Arabidopsis thaliana: one gene and its partners. The protein of the gene in region 3 interacts with the protein of the main gene of each other region in a pairwise test. Each region holds a gene or a part of one and is shown on either strand. Other genes may lie near its edges. The genes, in order: VAMP711, NIP7;1, AT4G18220 and AT5G15240.

Region 1 (4,092 bases), 5.4 Mb from region 3:
TACATATATGGAATTCAATCGAGTAGAATGATACTTTATAGTCTGGAGCTATCCAAAGCTGCATAAATAAAGATTTAGCTACCCCTGATGTTAAACAAAAGATAAACTAACAATTCAATAGAGGGCAACAACAGAATTCACCAATTGTAGGAAATGACTTCTAATGCCTTATGTGGTGAGTCTACCATTGGACTTGCTGGTAACTACACTAGCTATCCCCATAGCTTGGGACTAATAACAAAGACATCCACATTTATCTCAAGTCCCATTAGAATAAAGCAGGCAACTGAAGAATTCTAGCACGGCACTTCCAAAAGGTAACGTGGTAAAGTCCAATAAAGTTCGAATTTTTGGCAACAAAAGAACTCACCCATTTGCGCGGTGGAGGACTCCAATCCATTCCTAATGGAAGCGGCGATGTTCCGTCATGCCTGTGCTTGGGCGGACTCCGTCTCTGCATCATCTCCACCAAACTTTACCTAAGTCTCTCTCTATCTCCAGCTCTCCGGAATCCGAATTTGATATTCCGATCAGAATCAATCGGAGACACGATCGAGTACTAATATCCCGATCGAGAAACCACAAATTACGAAATCTGAGCAAAAGATGATGGAAGAGTAAGCAGAGCGTAGGGTTTATGAAGATCGTCGTGAGATCGAGGAGAGAGAGAGAGGACACAGATGGAGGCAAAAGAAGGACCAGATGGCGTCTCTCAGGGTCTTCTCTGCCTCTGGGTTGAATTCCCACAGACCACGGTGATTAACGGCGGTGTTGTGACGTTTACTTTAACGGAAAAGCCGAGAAGAAACAACACGTGATTTGACGGAGGCGCGAAGCTTACCGTGTATATATGTGTATATGTCCCACTTTTTCCCGTGAGATTCGGTTTGGGTCGTGAACCACGTCTTGGTTTAGAGTTGGGAATTGGGATTTTATATCTGTTGTACATTTTGTAAGGCTTATCTCTGGCTATGTTTGGTTTAGGCTCAGCTCATTGGATGTCATTTTCATTTTTCTGCCTTTAATTTTCCTTTTTTTTTTTTGTCTTTGGCTAAAGTTAGTATATTATTCACTCATATCTTATTCAAACTCGAAACCCAATTTTGACCCAAATCGTTTCAAACCAGAAGGAAATAGACCGCTTTTTGGTTTTGTTTGGTACGTCACTACCACACTAAAAAAAAAAAAACTGATTTAATGATGATTTGAACACATCCCTACATTTTATCCTTCATATTCGTAAAAATTTACACTTTAAAATCACATCTTCTTCCACGGATAAATTACAATTATTCGATCTTTTTGCTCAGATTTCTCTATTTGTTTGAAACTGATAGAATTTGTTTGTTTTCTTTGTATTTCTTATAAGTTTGATATCAAACTAATTTAGCGTTAACCATTAATAATCCTTATAAAACAATTCACGGTACAATATTTTCGAAACTGAAGCAAATTGTTTTCTTTTCATATTTATATTTTTTACTTATTAGAACTAAATTAGTTCCGACAAAACAAAAAGAACTAACTTAGTTTTGCCCGTGATATTTTGACAAAATTTCATTTTGATCCTTATAATAATACAGTATTTTAAAAATAAATCAACGTAGCTATCCGAAATTAAATATTTGTAATCAGCGGAGGCGAAAAGGTCTCCAGCTCCAGCTAAACTCCAAGAGGAGAGAGAGAGAAAGAGATTCAATTATATGCAGAGAGAAAAAGAAGCCAATTGGTTCTCTCTCTCTCTCTCTCTCTCTCTGATTGATTGATCCAGCGATTCGTCTGGCTGGCTCGGTTTCCGCGGGAAAACCTTCTTCTTCGTTGACCTTACACGAGTTTTGTTGATTCGGCAGGGGGATCGACGACGGAGATGGCGATTCTGTACGCCCTCGTGGCTCGTGGCACGGTGGTTCTTTCTGAGTTCACCGCCACCTCTACGAATGCGAGCACCATCGCCAAACAGATCCTCGAGAAGGTCCCTGGAGACAACGACAGCAACGTCTCCTACTCTCAGGATCGTTACGTCTTCCACGTTAAACGCACCGATGGCCTCACCGTTCTCTGTATGGCCGAAGAAACCGCCGGAAGTACGTCCTCCCCTTTCTTTTACTTCTATGGCTAATTTTGAGGAAGTTTCCAACTTTGGTGACAGTGGAATTCAAAAGTCTAATCCTTTTTTGCTCTGAACGATCGCTCTGTTATTGAATTCGAGACCTTTGGTCTTATATTGTGATGTGAATGAATTTGATTTTTTTGGACATAACATCAACACAATTATATCCGAGAAGCTGTGCATTAGAGAGATGTGAATGTCTTTCTAACTCAAAAGTCAAAACTTTTTTATGTCAGGGAGAATTCCTTTTGCCTTTTTGGAGGATATTCACCAGAGATTCGTACGGACTTATGGCAGGGCTGTTCATACAGCACTAGCTTATGCAATGAATGAGGAATTCTCTAGAGTTCTCAGTCAGCAGATTGACTATTACTCTAATGATCCTAATGCCGATAGGATTAATCGTATTAAGGGTGAAATGAATCAGGTTTGATGAGTTTGTCTTACAAGTTCAGTCGGATTGTGAAGTTGTTTAGAGACATGGTTCTGAGTCTTGGCTTCACTGTTTGACAATACATCCTGGTTTTTCTTTTTGGTTTTGGATAGGTGCGGGGTGTCATGATAGAAAACATTGACAAAGTCCTAGATAGAGGTGAACGTTTGGAGCTTCTTGTCGATAAAACCGCCAATATGCAGGGGAATACATTCCGGTTCAGAAAGCAAGCTCGTCGTTTTAGAAGCAACGTCTGGTGGAGAAACTGCAAGCTCACGTATGTTTCCTAAAACCTTAGTAAACAATTTTCAGTATTATGATTGCAAGACTGTATACTAAAACTAGTTTTTGGCCTAAGAACACATTTAACTATAGCAAAAAGTACTTTAATCACCCCAAGTTCCACATTTGTAATGTCAAGTGAGAATTTTTTAAGAATCGAACATAGTTCCTAATTCCTAACCCTTTTTGTCTCTTGCAGGGTCCTCTTAATACTACTACTACTGGTGATCATATACATTGCAGTGGCCTTTCTCTGCCACGGACCTACTCTACCATCTTGCATTTAAGTGCATCTGTCTCTTAAGGAATCCATCCCGATTCTGCGCGTTGCCACGACTTTTTATCTCCTCATCTGATTGTAAACCTTGTGTTTTCCTGAGCATTTTCATGTGGCTTAAAAAGCTTATGTTTCCAACTCACGTATATGAAAAAGTATACTTATTTATAGAGCAATGTAAAAGCTCATTGCTTTGCGAAGTGTGTGAATCTTTGTTGACATCATGTTCTATAAATTACATACATAGTGGAAAAGTGAACAGGCTTGCTTTGTCTGATATGTTCATACAACTCTTTGAATCTTCATGTTCTTTGTTTATGTGACTTCCTCTCTCGTATATCCACACCAACTTCTGAAGTCGGCAGTTGAATGATCTTGTACGTCGTTGACCCTACAAATTCTTGTCATTTTACAATTGAAGCCATTTGTTGATCATAAATCGAATGTAAATATTAGAAAAGAAAGATAGGAGAACAAGATACAACAAGTGTCATAAATTGTCGTCCGAAAATAAAATATGGGTATCATCTCTAGTTAAGGCCAGACGCACCTCATTCACCAACTTGACATCTTGTCATGCCACCTAATAATAGCTAAATAAATTATAGTAGGTGGATTTAACCTTTTATTTATATAATAGCAGCATTTCAAATATAAAATTTTGTTTTTATCAACACCATGTTTACTAACTAAAAGGATGGAATTTATATCCATATATGATCAAAATACTAAAATGTTTGGTTGAACCAAAAAAAATAAAAAGCGTCGACTTTACGGTTTAAATATCGTTACAGAAAAAGAAGAAAAGAAAAGACGGCTACATCACGCTTACTAAAAATTCTACAGTCCAATTAAAGTCATAACAAAATTAATACTATATATTTATTAAAAAAAACATGATTATTTACTTTCCTTACAAAAAAAAACAAAAGTGTAAATATTTCCTGGTCTAACGCTTTCCCTCTGCGTGCCCCGTTCCTTCCCTCGCGG
Region 2 (4,384 bases), on a different chromosome or scaffold from region 3:
TGCCCCATTTAATTACGAGTAAAGAAATCTAACTCCTACTTCGATATTCAATTTGTTCATGGTCTATCACGTTATATACAATATTGATCGACAAGGCAATGAAACAAGAAAAAAAAAAAAAAAAACTCACGTTCGATCAAGATATCGGTTAACATTCAATGCAAGGGTCGAAAACCAAACCAACCAATTTTCAGTCTGGTTTGGGTATGGGATTGGTTTGGTTAAATTCACACTGATCCTCCTAGAAAATATATTCATTGTAGTAACAGAGGAAATGTAAATTCTGCGTTTTCATTCATTTCAATTGGCTAATGGACATGGCAAAGTGCTCACCATCAATAGTTCACAAGAAAAAATCCTTCACAGCACGAAACCAATCAACTTTTTTGGCCAACATGGGGCTGAAGACACTTGCCGGAATTTCATGAGAGTTCATCATGCCACTATCTTGAATCTTCTTATCAGCTGAAGCAATCATGCATTACCTTGGATGGATTTTTCAAATTGCTGGAGCTGCGAAATGAAACCGGGATTAGGATATGCCTGATGTCGTCGGCTCCTTACAAGTTCCATAGCTTTAGAGAATCCCATTCCATGCTTTTTCATCAGGTAAGCCACCACTATAGTCACACTTCAAAGAAAAACTCAAACCAATCAAATTGTGTAAGTATATATATAACAGAACGACACAATAAGCAAATTACAGGTTCAAGAAAAACTCTTAATTTGTCCACAACAAAATGTAATCTGTTCACTACCATAACTCCTACTAATACCAGAATCAGCAAGCTATAAAAGAATCAAAGCAAACTACAAGATTCATATACACTTTTGCCAATCTGAGTCTCTGTAGTTTCCTATGGTTACTCAGTTGGCAATTTATATACACTTTTTTGATATGGTTACATAATTTGCAATTGGTTCACATTGATGATTCTTAAACACTAAATCTAATAACTGAATGTATGAGATTTAAGGGCAAAAGAATCAAAACCTCCTAGACATTCCCATGAAGCAATGAACCAAAACACCACCACCAGATTGAATAGCTTGGTCGATGAAGCTATAACACTCATCGAAATATACTGTCAAATCGGTCTCGGATCTATCAACCACTACACGATGAAGAACAAGTTTATAAAATCTCTAAACGAAAAATTTCAAAAACAGGCTAAGGATTGAAGAAAAAAAACCCAACCTTCAATGACTTTGTAGACAAAATCATCAGGATAAGGAGGAGCCAAGGCCACAGCAACGGTTAAGACATGAGTGATATTAGAGCTTTTGAGAAAATCCTTGTTATTCGCTTCAGCTACTGATCCTATGAACAATCCCTGAGAATAAACTCATCCAACAAACGATTTTTCGGAATTAAAGACTCCAAAACCTGAGAAATTCCAAGTGTGAAATTAGACGGATAGATAGAGAAGAGAAACGAAGAAAACCTGTTGGATCTCGCTGAGATCTTTGCCTCCTTCGAGTAGCTTCTGGGAATTAGCTTCTCCGACTCCGAAGAGATCAACCACTTTCTCCATCGCTCTCTGCTTCTTTTTTCAAAATTCCACTTGTACAGACGAAAACTCTTAATCAGAAAGATAAATAACCCTAGATTCGTAATTAATATTTAATAGTTTAGTTCGGATAGATGAATCAATAAGCACCAGTGGTCTAGTGGTAGAATAGAACCCTGCCACGGTACAGACCCGGGTTCGATTCCCGGCTGGTGCAACAATTTGTTTGTTTTTTTAAGTGAAAAGATTTAAGAGAGTCAACCTTTTTACACATGAAATGAAGATGATTAAAATAAATAGATGACTTAGAAATCACCAAATTAACATTAAGAAATATTGGTAGGTAGGAAGTGAAAATTGAACACAAGAAAAGTGTTGAGCACCCTCTTCTCCTTTCAGACTGCTTAACCAAAGGAATATAGCAGCACTCTACTAATTCTTCTTTTTGTTGAAATAAAATAATTACTCTTTAATTTCCATCTTCTTTGCGTTTTTCTCTCTATCTCTCTTTTTTTGTTCCATTAGATCATTCATAAAGCGGATCAAGCCACCTTGATTGTGACTTTCCTCAGTTCTTGATCACTATATCTTGAAGGAATTAAGAAGATGAATGGTGAGGCACGGTCAAGAGTAGTCGACCAAGAAGCTGGCTCAACTCCATCTACTTTGAGAGATGAAGATCATCCCTCGAGACAAAGGCTTTTCGGATGTCTCCCTTATGATATAGATCTCAATCCCCTACGCATTGTAAGCTTCATATATACACAAAATCATAGAATCAACAAGATTAATATCTCACAATACTTTTGTGTTAAACTAAAGAATTGGCTATGTCCATAATTACAAATAATTTTTTTGAAAATATTAAAATGTTTGTATAGAAATAAAATGCTAATTAATAGTATCTCCGGACTAATGTTTAGGTAATGGCGGAATTGGTGGGGACATTCATTCTAATGTTCAGTGTGTGTGGGGTCATAAGCAGTACCCAATTATCCGGCGGCCACGTGGGATTGCTAGAGTACGCCGTCACCGCTGGATTATCTGTGGTGGTCGTAGTTTACTCCATCGGACACATCTCTGGCGCCCATCTTAACCCTTCCATCACCATTGCTTTCGCTGTCTTTGGCGGATTCCCGTGGTCTCAGGTATAATGCATCCATCTCAACACGGCGTTTGACCAACTAAGAATTGTAGTTGAATTATCTTGGTCTTGATCGTTTGTTTTTGTTTATCTTAGCGTTTAGACCAAGATCAAATAATGTGTTTTTTTCATTTATCAACGAAGATGAGACGAGAAAACTTAATCTTTTGTTTGGACGTTTACAAATTATTTTTTATGAAAACTGAAAATTCTTTTTTGGAATGTTGTGTCACATGCCAGGTTCCGTTGTATATAACGGCGCAAACATTGGGGGCAACGGCGGCAACATTAGTTGGGGTGTCAGTGTACGGAGTAAACGCTGACATTATGGCAACAAAACCTGCTTTAAGCTGCGTTTCTGCATTTTTCGTTGAACTCATAGCTACGAGCATCGTCGTGTTTCTCGCCTCCGCGTTGCATTGTGGTCCTCATCAAAATGTAAGTGACCAAATCGATCTTCGTTACTCCTCTAGTCCGCTTGTTATAAAAAAATATCTTCTAATAAGAATAACACCTAAAATGTGACATTTACATGCTATTTCTTAATTATGAAATTTTATTTCTTTCCAAAGAGAAAATAAAAAAAATCAAACTCTCTGATTAGAAAACTTATATGCATTTAATTTTATATGTTATTTTGTGCAGTTGGGTAATTTGACGGGGTTCGTGATTGGAACAGTCATTTCCCTTGGAGTGCTTATTACCGGGTACTTAACTTAAAACTCCATTATCACCGTAAAGTATTGGAAAATAGTTATTTCATGTGATCGTATAATGCTAACGTTTTGTGGAATATGGTATGGTTAGACCGATTTCAGGAGGATCGATGAACCCAGCTCGATCACTTGGACCGGCGGTGGTGGCATGGGATTTTGAAGACTTATGGATTTACATGACAGCTCCGGTGATCGGAGCCATAATCGGAGTTTTGACATACAGATCAATTAGCCTAAAAACCAGGCCTTGCCCTTCTCCAGTTTCCCCTTCCGTTTCTTCACTTTTACGTTAATCACTTCAAAACCTAATATCTATTATACAAATAAACACTTTTGATTTTTTTTCTTGGTTAAGGTTTTTAAGTTTTTGTCATTACGTCATTAGATGCCGTGATGCGAAAACAGAGAGCTACTTATCGGATTGAAGATATAGAGGGTAAAGCAAATGAAAACAGGGGGCATTTTGTTCTTTTTACACAATGAAATGAACGCAATTAAAAATCTTTAGTCACATATATTTTATAGTGAAGCGAAATTCGTATGAATATTCAAATCCTTTCATTAGGTTATAAGAACCCACTAAAATACTCATATTACTAAACGATACCAACAAACATAAATTAGAGAAATGAAATTAAATATCTTAAATTATTACCCCAACTAAAAATTTAGTGGCCACAACCTCTACGACTTGGACCAGAAGCTAACTTTCGACCTGACCACAAATTCGCCTTCTTCTTCTTCTCCTCGTAGTTTCCAAACTCATTTCTTGAATCTTCTCCGACTACATTCATTCTCGTTGCCTTCTCTGCAACCCTGTTACAACCATGGTAACTAGCCATGGCAATGGAACAAGTTAAGTAAGCGACCAAGAGAAACACAACTTTAAGAAGCTTCTTCATCTTCATGTTCTTAGTGTCGACTACTACTTAAACTATAGATTCTCAACATTGATTCGTATTCGTGTATATATGCATGTTTATAGATTTTTGGTCTTTTGTTCTATGAGAGCT
Region 3 (4,158 bases):
TACTCCATTGGACTTCTTTACTTACCCGTTTCTACCTATTCCCTGATCTGTGCATCTCAGTTAGCCTTCAATGCTTTCTTCTCTTATTTTCTTAACTCACAAAAACTTACCCCTATCATTTTAAATTCTCTTTTCCTCCTAACTATATCTTCCACCCTACTTGCATTCAATAATGAGGAGACAGACTCCACAAAAGTTACAAAAGGAGAGTATGTCAAAGGTTTCATATGCACCGTTGCTGCGTCTGCTGGTTATGGTCTAGTCTTATCCCTACAACAGCTAGCCTTTCTAAAAGTCCTAAAGAAGCAAAATTTCTCAGAAGTTATGGATATGATAATCTACGTGAGTCTAGTGGCCAGTTGTGTTAGCGTGGTGGGGCTTTTTGCTAGCAGTGAGTGGAAAACTTTGAGCAGTGAAATGGATAACTACAAACATGGGAAGGTATCCTACATTATGAACCTAGTGTGGACAGCTGTTACCTGGCAGGTATTCTCCATCGGTGGCACAGGACTGATCTTCGAGCTCTCCTCTCTATTCTCAAATGCAATAAGCGTTTTGGGACTCCCAGTGGTTCCTATCTTGGCTGTAATCATTTTCCATGACAAAATGAATGGGTTAAAGGTGATTTCTATGATCCTAGCTATTTGGGGTTTCACTTCCTATGTCTACCAACAATATCTTGATGACAAAAACTTGAAGAAAAATCATGAAATCACAACAACAGAATCCCCTGACCCACCAGAAGCAGAAGAGTCAACTTGGCAATCAAAATAAGCTGATATTTTGAAAGATGCTGTCCCGCAGTTTACAGACTCAATCAATCTAGTTAAGTAAACTTACTTTACTTATCGGCCTGGAGGCATCCTACATTGAAGAATACACAATACATTTTTGATGCAACTAATGTAAAGTCTCAGCTTGAAATTTTTTGCATCATTGTAACAGGAAGTAGATTTCATTTAAATAAGTAGTGAATGACTTTGGTTTAGTTTCAATTACGATTACCCAAATTACATTGTAATCTCAGTGAACCAACAATCTTAAGTTTAGAACAGCTGATTACAAAAGTTCATCGTTTAAACTTGGGTTCATAGCAGCTAAAGATTAAATGTAACTCAACCCTGTATGTAACAAGAACCTGTAGGCAGATTGATAAAAGTAGATATTTATTTAATAAAAAACCATGTCAATTTTGTGAGTGTGACACCTGATAAAAATTAACCCTTAGCCATAACTTAAAAAGATTTCAATGCACTATTCCACTTTCTAGTTTTACCTGAAACATTGTGAAACAAGGACACACAGAAAATCATTTCTAATGAAGAAAGAAGAAATATTAATCAGACAGGTCCAAACATCCTTGGTGAAACAGAGCTTTGTACAAAAAGTAAATGACCAGAAATAATACCATTTGGCAGTCTCCATCTTAGCAGTTAATAAAGTGACTTCCTCTGCCATCCAATATTGTGGTGCAAATGTCTTCTTTTGAAAAGAGAAGCGAGACATCATCTCCATAAATGTGTTTCTAATCCACATGCCTGATCTCATAAGAGAAAGATAGTCAGACGGAACAAGCCAAAGAAATTAAAGAAGACGAATAACTTTCAAAATAGACATCCTGACGGTCATACAATCTTACAACTTGTGTGCATGCGTGTTAAGTTTGTGTCTATGCATATGGCTGATGTGTCACACAGGTATAAAATACTGAGTGACTAATGGCTACACATCATTTCCTTCTTGATTTGACTCGACTCATCTCTAGATCAACAATAGTGACAAAAGAAATTAAATTCACAGCAAGAGAAGATATACAGTTGGCATTTACTGAATGTGGGGACAAGTACAATCAAAACATAGACGATGACCGATTCCTAATCTCTAAATATATAGCTACAGCGTGTCTCACCCATATCACAGAAGCAATCACTTGGTAGCACTAGTAACCAAGCAATTTGATAATAAGATACCTAATACTTAGAATCTATTCAGAACATTGTTAGTACCTCCTTGTCCATCTCGAAGGAGGGGGATTCCACATCTACTATGAAGGGGGATCAAGAAGTACAAGTCATTGGTGAGTAAGCATAAACCAGTTCCTCGAGAACCTACTGGTCTTTTATCTTCAAATAAAAGACGAAAAATATGGTTATGGTATCTTATTATTCAATATATCAATATTTTTCATGTGTGACAACAAATAAGTCATAATCTAATTTCTTGCGTTATTTTCCATCACTCACCAGTTCAGCAGGGAAAAGAACCAATTCCAACAGATCAAGACGAAAGAAGTTCGGTCAGTGGCAGCCAAACAAAACTATCTCACTCTAATACATACAAACGGTGGCTCCGGGTTGCTATCTATACATTCTTTGTCATTTCAGGCCAATCAGTTGCTACAATTCTGGGCAGACTATACTATGAAAATGGAGGAAACAGCAAATGGCTAGCAACGGTAGTTCAGCTTGTAGGCTTTCCTATTCTACTTCCATATCATCTCTTGTCAGTCAAAACACATACAACAACTCAGAGAGATGGCAAATTAACCTCACTTAGGAACCGTGCATTAGTTTACATAGTGCTTGGACTTCTTGTAGGAGCAGCTTGCTACCTATATTCCATTGGACTGCTTTACCTACCTGTTTCTACCCTTTCCCTGATCTGTGCATCACAGTTAGCCTTCACCGCTTTCTTCTCTTATTTACTCAACTCACAAAAACTTACTCCTATCATTTTGAATTCTCTTTTCCTCCTCACTATATCTTCCACCCTCCTTGCATTTAATAACGAGGAATCAGATTCCAAAAAAGTTACAAAAGGAGAGTATGTCAAAGGTTTCGTATGCACCGTTGGTGCATCTGCTGGGTTTGGTCTACTCTTATCCCTACAACAGCTAGCCTTTCGTAAAGTTTTAAAGAAGCAAACTTTCTCAGAAGTTATAAATATGATAATCTACATGAGTCTAGTGGCCAGTTGTGTTAGCGTGGTGGGGCTTTTTGCTAGTAGCGAGTGGAAAACTTTGAGCAGTGAAATGGAAAACTACAAACTTGGGAAGGTATCCTATGTCATGAACCTAGTGTGGACAGCTGTTACCTGGCAGGTATTCTCCATCGGTTGCACAGGACTGATCTTCGAGCTTTCCTCCCTATTCTCAAATGCAATAAGCGCTTTGGGACTCCCCGTGGTTCCTATCCTGGCTGTCATCATTTTCCATGACAAAATGAACGGCTTAAAGGTGATTTCTATGATTCTAGCTATTTGGGGTTTCGTATCCTATGTCTACCAACAATATCTTGATGAAACAAACTTGAAGAAAAGTAATGAAATACCAACAACAGAATCCCCTGACCGACCAGAAGCAGAAGGGTCAAGTGAGCAATCAAAATAAGCTGTTACTTCAAAGATTGTGGCACACACAGTTTACAGACTAAAGCGAGCTGATCAAGTAAACTTACTTTTCTTTATTGGTATGAAGGCAGCCTACAATGAAAAATAAACATAATAGATTTGTGATGCGACTCAAGTGAAGTCACAGCCTGAAAATGTGTGCATCATTGTAACATGAAGTATATTTTATTTAAATATATGTTGTGCACGATTCTGGTTTAGTTTGGAATAAGATGACCAAAATCACATTATAAGCTCACTGAAATAGCATTAAGTCATTAACAAAGTCAAAACAGCTGATTACAAAAATTCATTGTTTAAAACTCAATCCTGCATATAAAGAGAAGGTGTACACTATGTAGCTTTCTAAGTTTTTGTAATATATCTAGGTGTAAGTAGAGTTCCAATCAGCTTACATCAGGCACCCAACATAGTGAGCCCGAGGATACTTCTTATGCAGTTGTGGCCATTGAACAAAGAATTGATCAGCTATTCTCAACTTGTAAAGCAACAATCCACTTAATGAGAGCTTTTTCACTCTTGCTACACTCTCAACATAAAAGATTGATGACCATCTAATTCCCAGCACCTGTAACCCAAGATGAAACAAGCACTTATGGGAATTCTAGATGTAATGGAGAAACCATGACTAAGAATAAACAAAACACATCCTCTGTTTTTGGTCACAAGTCCATTCAAGGTCATCCAAAATGTAGAGGAAAGAACTGCAAAGAATCTTGATAAAATATTTCCGAAGTGTGTATACCTTGA
Region 4 (5,197 bases), on a different chromosome or scaffold from region 3:
TTCTTACCGGGAGAAGATCCGACATTGGTGTCTAAACAGCAATTGTTCGCTAGAATCGTCGGAGGACTCGGAGGCAGAGCCGCCGAAGATGTAATTTTTGGAGAACCGGAGATAACCACCGGCGCTGCCGGTGATCTCCAGCAAGTCACTGAGATAGCAAGACAGGTACAGTAATTGAAACAAAATTTTCATAAACCGGAAAAAAACGGTGGATTTTCTAATTATTCTTATGGTTCAGATGGTGACGATGTTTGGTATGTCGGAAATCGGTCCATGGGCACTAACCGACCCAGCGGTTAAGCAAAACGATGTGGTTCTACGGATGCTAGCGAGGAACTCAATGTCCGAGAAACTTGCGGAGGATATTGATTCTTGCGTGAAGAAAATAATCGGTGACGCTTACGAGGTTGCGAAAAAGCACGTGAGGAATAATAGAGAAGCTATAGACAAGCTTGTTGATGTTTTGTTGGAGAAAGAAACCTTAACGGGAGACGAGTTTCGAGCAATTCTGTCTGAGTATACTGATCAACCGTTAAATACCGATGGCGATGTAAGAATTCGAATCAATGACTTGATTAGTGTCTAATACAGACACCTAGATCAACTCATGTCTTCATTTAACGTATTCACATTTTTCTCATTCCAAATTATTACATAACTCAAAAAAACTTCGTTAACGAAAGTCACAAAAAATCAAATAAAACAAATTATGGTATTGGACTGTTGGTAGTACAAATATCTTCCTAAACAAATACTCTATAAGCTAAACTTCACCTATTGGGATTTCAAAATCGACCAAAAATGTCCTTGACCGCTTGGTAAGTTCCGGTTATCACAACCACGATACCGGTTAGAGTGATTCCGATGAGCACCAATGTTTCGAATCCGAGTCTTTGATATTTCCCAGAGATCTTTAAGTAACATAAACATGGCAATATAACCGATGCGGATGCGCTCAAGAATGCTCCCACAAGACTCATAAGATCACCAAAAAACGGAAGAAGCAATGCCACAATCACATTGCTAGTAACTAGTATTGTACTTAGCAAAAATCCAGAAGCTCTTTTATTAGGCAAAACTCGAGAAAACCGGCTTCTCATTGCGTCAATAATAGGTGTAACCATGAGAGCAAACTTAGCTATTGGGTTGACCAATGTAGTCCATATCGCCACTTTTGAACTAAGCTTATCAGTAGGAAGATTCAAAGTGATCTGTGATTCAACATCTGATCCATACATTAAGTAACCCAATACCGCCACTGATGCATATATGAAGGTGCATATTGTGAAACATATAATCATAACCTGAAAATGTTAAAAAAAATATGCAAAATTATTAGTGTGAGTTTTGGTCAAGAATAACCTAATGATCCGTTATGTAAAAAACTTACGTTTGAGAATTGGCGTTTGTTCTTCATGGAAGTGTATAGAGTTGGGAAAACTGGATGAGCGCAATAACAAAACGCGTATAAGCTCACCGAAGTAGCGACTCCATTAAGTCGAAAGACCTCTGAGTCATTGTTCTTGAACCCTACGCCTTCAAAAGCTCCAACCGAAAAGATAGAAGCAAGAATAACCCCGGAAGCAAAGACACCACTCGCGGAAACATAAGAAAGAATCCTCATATTGTCTAACCAAACCGAAGGAAGAATAATGAGAGCCACCATGATGATGAACATTTGCTTGCCTTGGAATTCAAGCCCCATGAAGTTGAGTCCAACGTTTGAGAAGAGTTTGTTAAGGTTGTCACCTTCTAGGATCAAGAAACTAGTTGCAACTAGGTAAAGCTCGAGGTTCATGAAGATGGAGACGATAACACGTCCTGTGTTTCCAAAGGCTTTGTAGCCAATGTCCGGGTATGATCTAAGAAGTGGATCCATTTCCATACATCTCTTAATGAGAATGGCACAGTAGAAAGTTGTGATCGCTACGGTGAAAAGTATGATCAAACTTAGCCATCCTCCGGATGCTAAGGCATAAGGGACCGATAATATACCCACACCTAAAAAAAAAAGAGTTGATCAGAAGAATGTCCAAGCCTAACGCATATGCTAATTAACGTTTTTTGTGTTAACTATTTACAAACGTTCTTTTTGTATATATGAAAACGCAAACGCAGTTTTTAATTGAAAACACAAACGCAAAGAAATATTCGTGGTCTCGTTACCAATAAGATAATATGATTTGATTTTATCAAAGTGGTTTGTAGTCTTGTAGAAGAAGAAGAACACAAATTGAAAAGGGAAGACGTGTTGTTAATGTGTTAAGGTTTTGTTCAGTGACACGTTGTATTTATATCTGAAAGATAATTGGAATTGCTGGTTTCTTTCTATTTAATTATATGGACTGTTTTTTGTTCGTATATGGTCTAGTTTGGTCTAGTTTGGTCAGACGTGTTTCCAGTATATAATTAGTTTTTTTAGTATAAACTAAGTATCTAGTTTGGTATATAAACAATTAAGTACAACGATAGCGGCCAGTTTGATAAACCCATTATTAGGCCATTACCACATTTAGCGAATAAATAATAGCAATAGTCATTGAAAACTTTGCCGAATTGTTAATACTATAGTGTTAAATTCAGTTAAACGGAACCATCCTAACCTTTAATAGTCAGAACAAAAATGATTTGGTTATTTAGCACTATTGTTTATCAAAGACTATGAAACTGAATCTAGACGAAGAAAAACACAATTCAGTCTAAGTAGAACTGGTTTTAACTTGGTTATGATAAATTATCAACAGAAAAATTAAATAACTAAAAAAACTGAGGCAAGACTAGGAGGTAAAGAAACAAAATGTAGGATTGAAATACACACCAATCTAGATGATACAAGATAAAGTCAAAAGCTTGAGTTAAAAACATGCATCTATAGAAATTAAGTACAATAAAGCTAATTATAGTTTTTTCTAGATTATTTTGAAAATTAAGATATATCCTATCCATATATGTGGACATGCTAAGAGTTGGATCTTTCCCCGTGAGTTATGGAGTTTGGAGATAAGAAGAAGTGGTGAATAAATCAAAAAGAAAAAATCAATCACGAAAATGAAAATAGAAAAAAAAAAAAAGAAGAAGAAGAGGAAATTAAACCTGATAAGGCGTTAATGCCATGGAAACAAGTCTTGGAGAAAGAAGTATTGCCCTGTGGATTATAATCATCAAGCAATGATTCTTCATCATCAATCTTCTTAACGATAAATGGCTCCGACATGTAATCTTTGTCCTCGCTCATACTTGTTTAGTCTTTGACTCTGCTCTTTGGATATCGAAGAGACAAAGAGAGAGAGACGGAGAGATCGAGAGACGAAGGAAATAGATAGAGAGAAGTTGGAACTTGGAAGTAAACAATAAAGAAACCCTCAAAAGGCAATATATATAGTGTTAATACATTTACTAGGGTCAATGTTTTTAAATTACATCAATTATTAGAGCTGATTTTTATGCAGTATCCATGCACATATGATATCTACACGATATTAGCGTGGCAGTGGAATTCTATTTAATGTTTATTGACCAATTAAATATTCGTGGATGGGGTTTTTAGAAACTAATTGAAATTTAAGTGCAACTCTTTATATAGAAAAAAATTATAACCACTTACACACAAATCTACCATAATTTGCGATTTGTGTGGTTCTAGAATTTAATGTTAGTTGTATAAGAAAATTGGTAGGAAGAGAGAAAATAAAACTCCACGAAGTTTTCCACTTTAATGTTAGGGCGTTTAACTTAGGTGATAGAGAGAATGCAAGTACCAAATCCTCTTTCGGTGAAGACTGAAGAGGGATCAAATTTTCATAAAAATACATGGTCCAAAGTAGTATATCATGTCAATAATCTGTTGGACGAGACTGGAGCACTTGAAAAATCGTCACATATTTTTTTGTTGTCGTTTGTTAAAAATAGTTGACAAGTGAATCCCCAGACCTAAAGAGTAGATAAGTATGAATAGCCTTGATCTGACGTAAATCAATATCTTGACGCTAGTTTACAGTTATGTTCTACAAGGTGCCGAGTAGTTCTAACAATAATGAAAATATCGACATATATATCTATATATTTTCGTTACTATTAAAACCATACTGCAAATTTTTTACAGTTATCCAATATGTTTTCATTCAGAAATCGAAACCAAAAACTTTTATAGGTTACAAAATGAGTTCTTTAGAAAAGAAGAATACTCATTGCCGGCCATTTCCCCATGTTGTGCTTGTGAAAAAATAGCATGCACATGTTGATAAAAAAAAAAAGTATCTTCTTCAAGATCACCATTCAAAATGCATGTGAGATGTCTAACAAAGAGAGCTAAATTGAGCTTTGTTGTTAATGCTAATAACTATAGTTGTACTCCAAACCTCATATTTCTTGTCGATTAATGTCAATATATAAGGCATTATTAAGAGTATTTATTGATACGTAGGGTAATGAACGGGTAAAACGTTTATAAGTTTGTGGTTCATATCATTGCACCGATTGTAAAATATCGTTGTCGTTATTTATTTCCAACTGCCCAAAGCCCAAGTCTTGTATAAAAGAAGATTGCGGCAAAAAGCAATCGCGTTAGAACACGTGATTTTGTAAAAAGCTTGGAAAAATCAATAATGGGCTTTTTAGTACTGGGCCGAGAGACCCAATGTCACTCTTTTCTACATATGCATACTTCTTTCGCAGGAATTTTTTAAATTGTATTATTTGGTTTGCCTTACCCTTTATAGTATTACTATTTTCGAAATGGAAAATATCTTTTTTTTTGGTGGATGAATGGGAAAATATCTTTAGAAACACAAGTATTCATGAAAAATATCATTCATAGGGCCACTCTCATTTTTTTTAGGATTTAGAACAAAATCCGAAAAGGAGTGACATAACATTACAACATTAGGAATAAAGTAGATAAAACATTGATCAAAGGAAATTTAGTTATAGTTGAAAATTTTTATTATAAAAAGGGAACGAAGGGAGATTTTTTCAAGGGCATTTTGGTCCACCCTCTTGAGTTTTCCAGTTGTTGTAGCAGGAGCAAACTTGTTTGTTCCCATAGTAACCCGGAGGCACACAGAGACACTTCCTGCAGCATTTGTTGCAGAACGTAATGCAAGCCTTGTGGTACTGTGTCTTTTTACACCTCCTATCACATTCCGATGGGCATTCTGGTTGTTTCAAATACAAACAATATCAAAATGTTAACACTCAA

What was found.
Region 1: the proteins of AT4G18220 (region 3) and VAMP711 interact in a protein complementation assay, tested with the Arabidopsis thaliana proteins (one large-scale study listed by BioGRID).
Region 2: the proteins of AT4G18220 (region 3) and NIP7;1 interact in a protein complementation assay, tested with the Arabidopsis thaliana proteins (one large-scale study listed by BioGRID).
Region 4: the proteins of AT4G18220 (region 3) and AT5G15240 interact in a protein complementation assay, tested with the Arabidopsis thaliana proteins (one large-scale study listed by BioGRID).

The regions. Positions count from the first base shown.
Region 1 is NC_003075.7:15,525,427-15,529,518, reverse strand, and holds VAMP711 (vesicle-associated membrane protein 711), read left to right. Parts: upstream 1-1,592; 5' UTR 1,593-1,867; coding exon 1,868-2,084; intron 2,085-2,346; coding exon 2,347-2,537; intron 2,538-2,656; coding exon 2,657-2,820; intron 2,821-3,024; coding exon 3,025-3,112; 3' UTR 3,113-3,540; downstream 3,541-4,092. Other genes in the region: AT4G32160 (Phox (PX) domain-containing protein), read right to left, coding at 371-463. UniProt on the Arabidopsis thaliana protein: Involved in the targeting and/or fusion of transport vesicles to their target membrane.
Region 2 is NC_003074.8:1,840,668-1,845,051, reverse strand, and holds NIP7;1 (NOD26-like intrinsic protein 7;1), read left to right. Parts: upstream 1-1,855; 5' UTR 1,856-2,117; coding exon 2,118-2,258; intron 2,259-2,340; exon of another isoform or gene 2,341-2,434; coding exon 2,435-2,659; intron 2,660-2,756; exon of another isoform or gene 2,757-2,772; coding exon of another isoform or gene 2,773-2,895; coding exon 2,896-3,093; intron 3,094-3,300; coding exon 3,301-3,362; intron 3,363-3,462; coding exon 3,463-3,664; 3' UTR 3,665-3,884; downstream 3,885-4,384. Other genes in the region: MKP2 (MAPK phosphatase 2), read right to left, coding at 475-631, 995-1,115, 1,199-1,334, 1,446-1,535; AT3G06090 (uncharacterized protein), read right to left, coding at 4,040-4,279. UniProt on the Arabidopsis thaliana protein: Aquaporins facilitate the transport of water and small neutral solutes across cell membranes.
Region 3 is NC_003075.7:10,076,722-10,080,879, forward strand, and holds AT4G18220 (Drug/metabolite transporter superfamily protein), read left to right. Parts: upstream 1-1,916; 5' UTR 1,917-2,006; coding exon of another isoform or gene 2,007-2,046; coding exon 2,047-2,077; coding exon of another isoform or gene 2,078-2,123; intron 2,124-2,246; coding exon 2,247-3,388; 3' UTR 3,389-3,641; downstream 3,642-4,158. Other genes in the region: PUP10 (purine permease 10), read left to right, coding at 1-774; AT4G18230 (UDP-N-acetylglucosamine transferase subunit ALG14-like protein), read right to left, coding at 3,800-3,976, 4,154-4,158.
Region 4 is NC_003076.8:4,945,800-4,950,996, reverse strand, and holds AT5G15240 (Transmembrane amino acid transporter family protein), read right to left. Parts: upstream 3,421-5,197; 5' UTR 3,236-3,420; coding exon 3,094-3,235; intron 2,423-3,093; exon of another isoform or gene 2,002-2,422; coding exon 1,391-2,001; intron 1,305-1,390; coding exon 786-1,304; 3' UTR 587-785; downstream 1-586. Other genes in the region: FTSH6 (FTSH protease 6), read left to right, coding at 1-165, 239-586; GASA4 (GAST1 protein homolog 4), read right to left, coding at 4,972-5,153.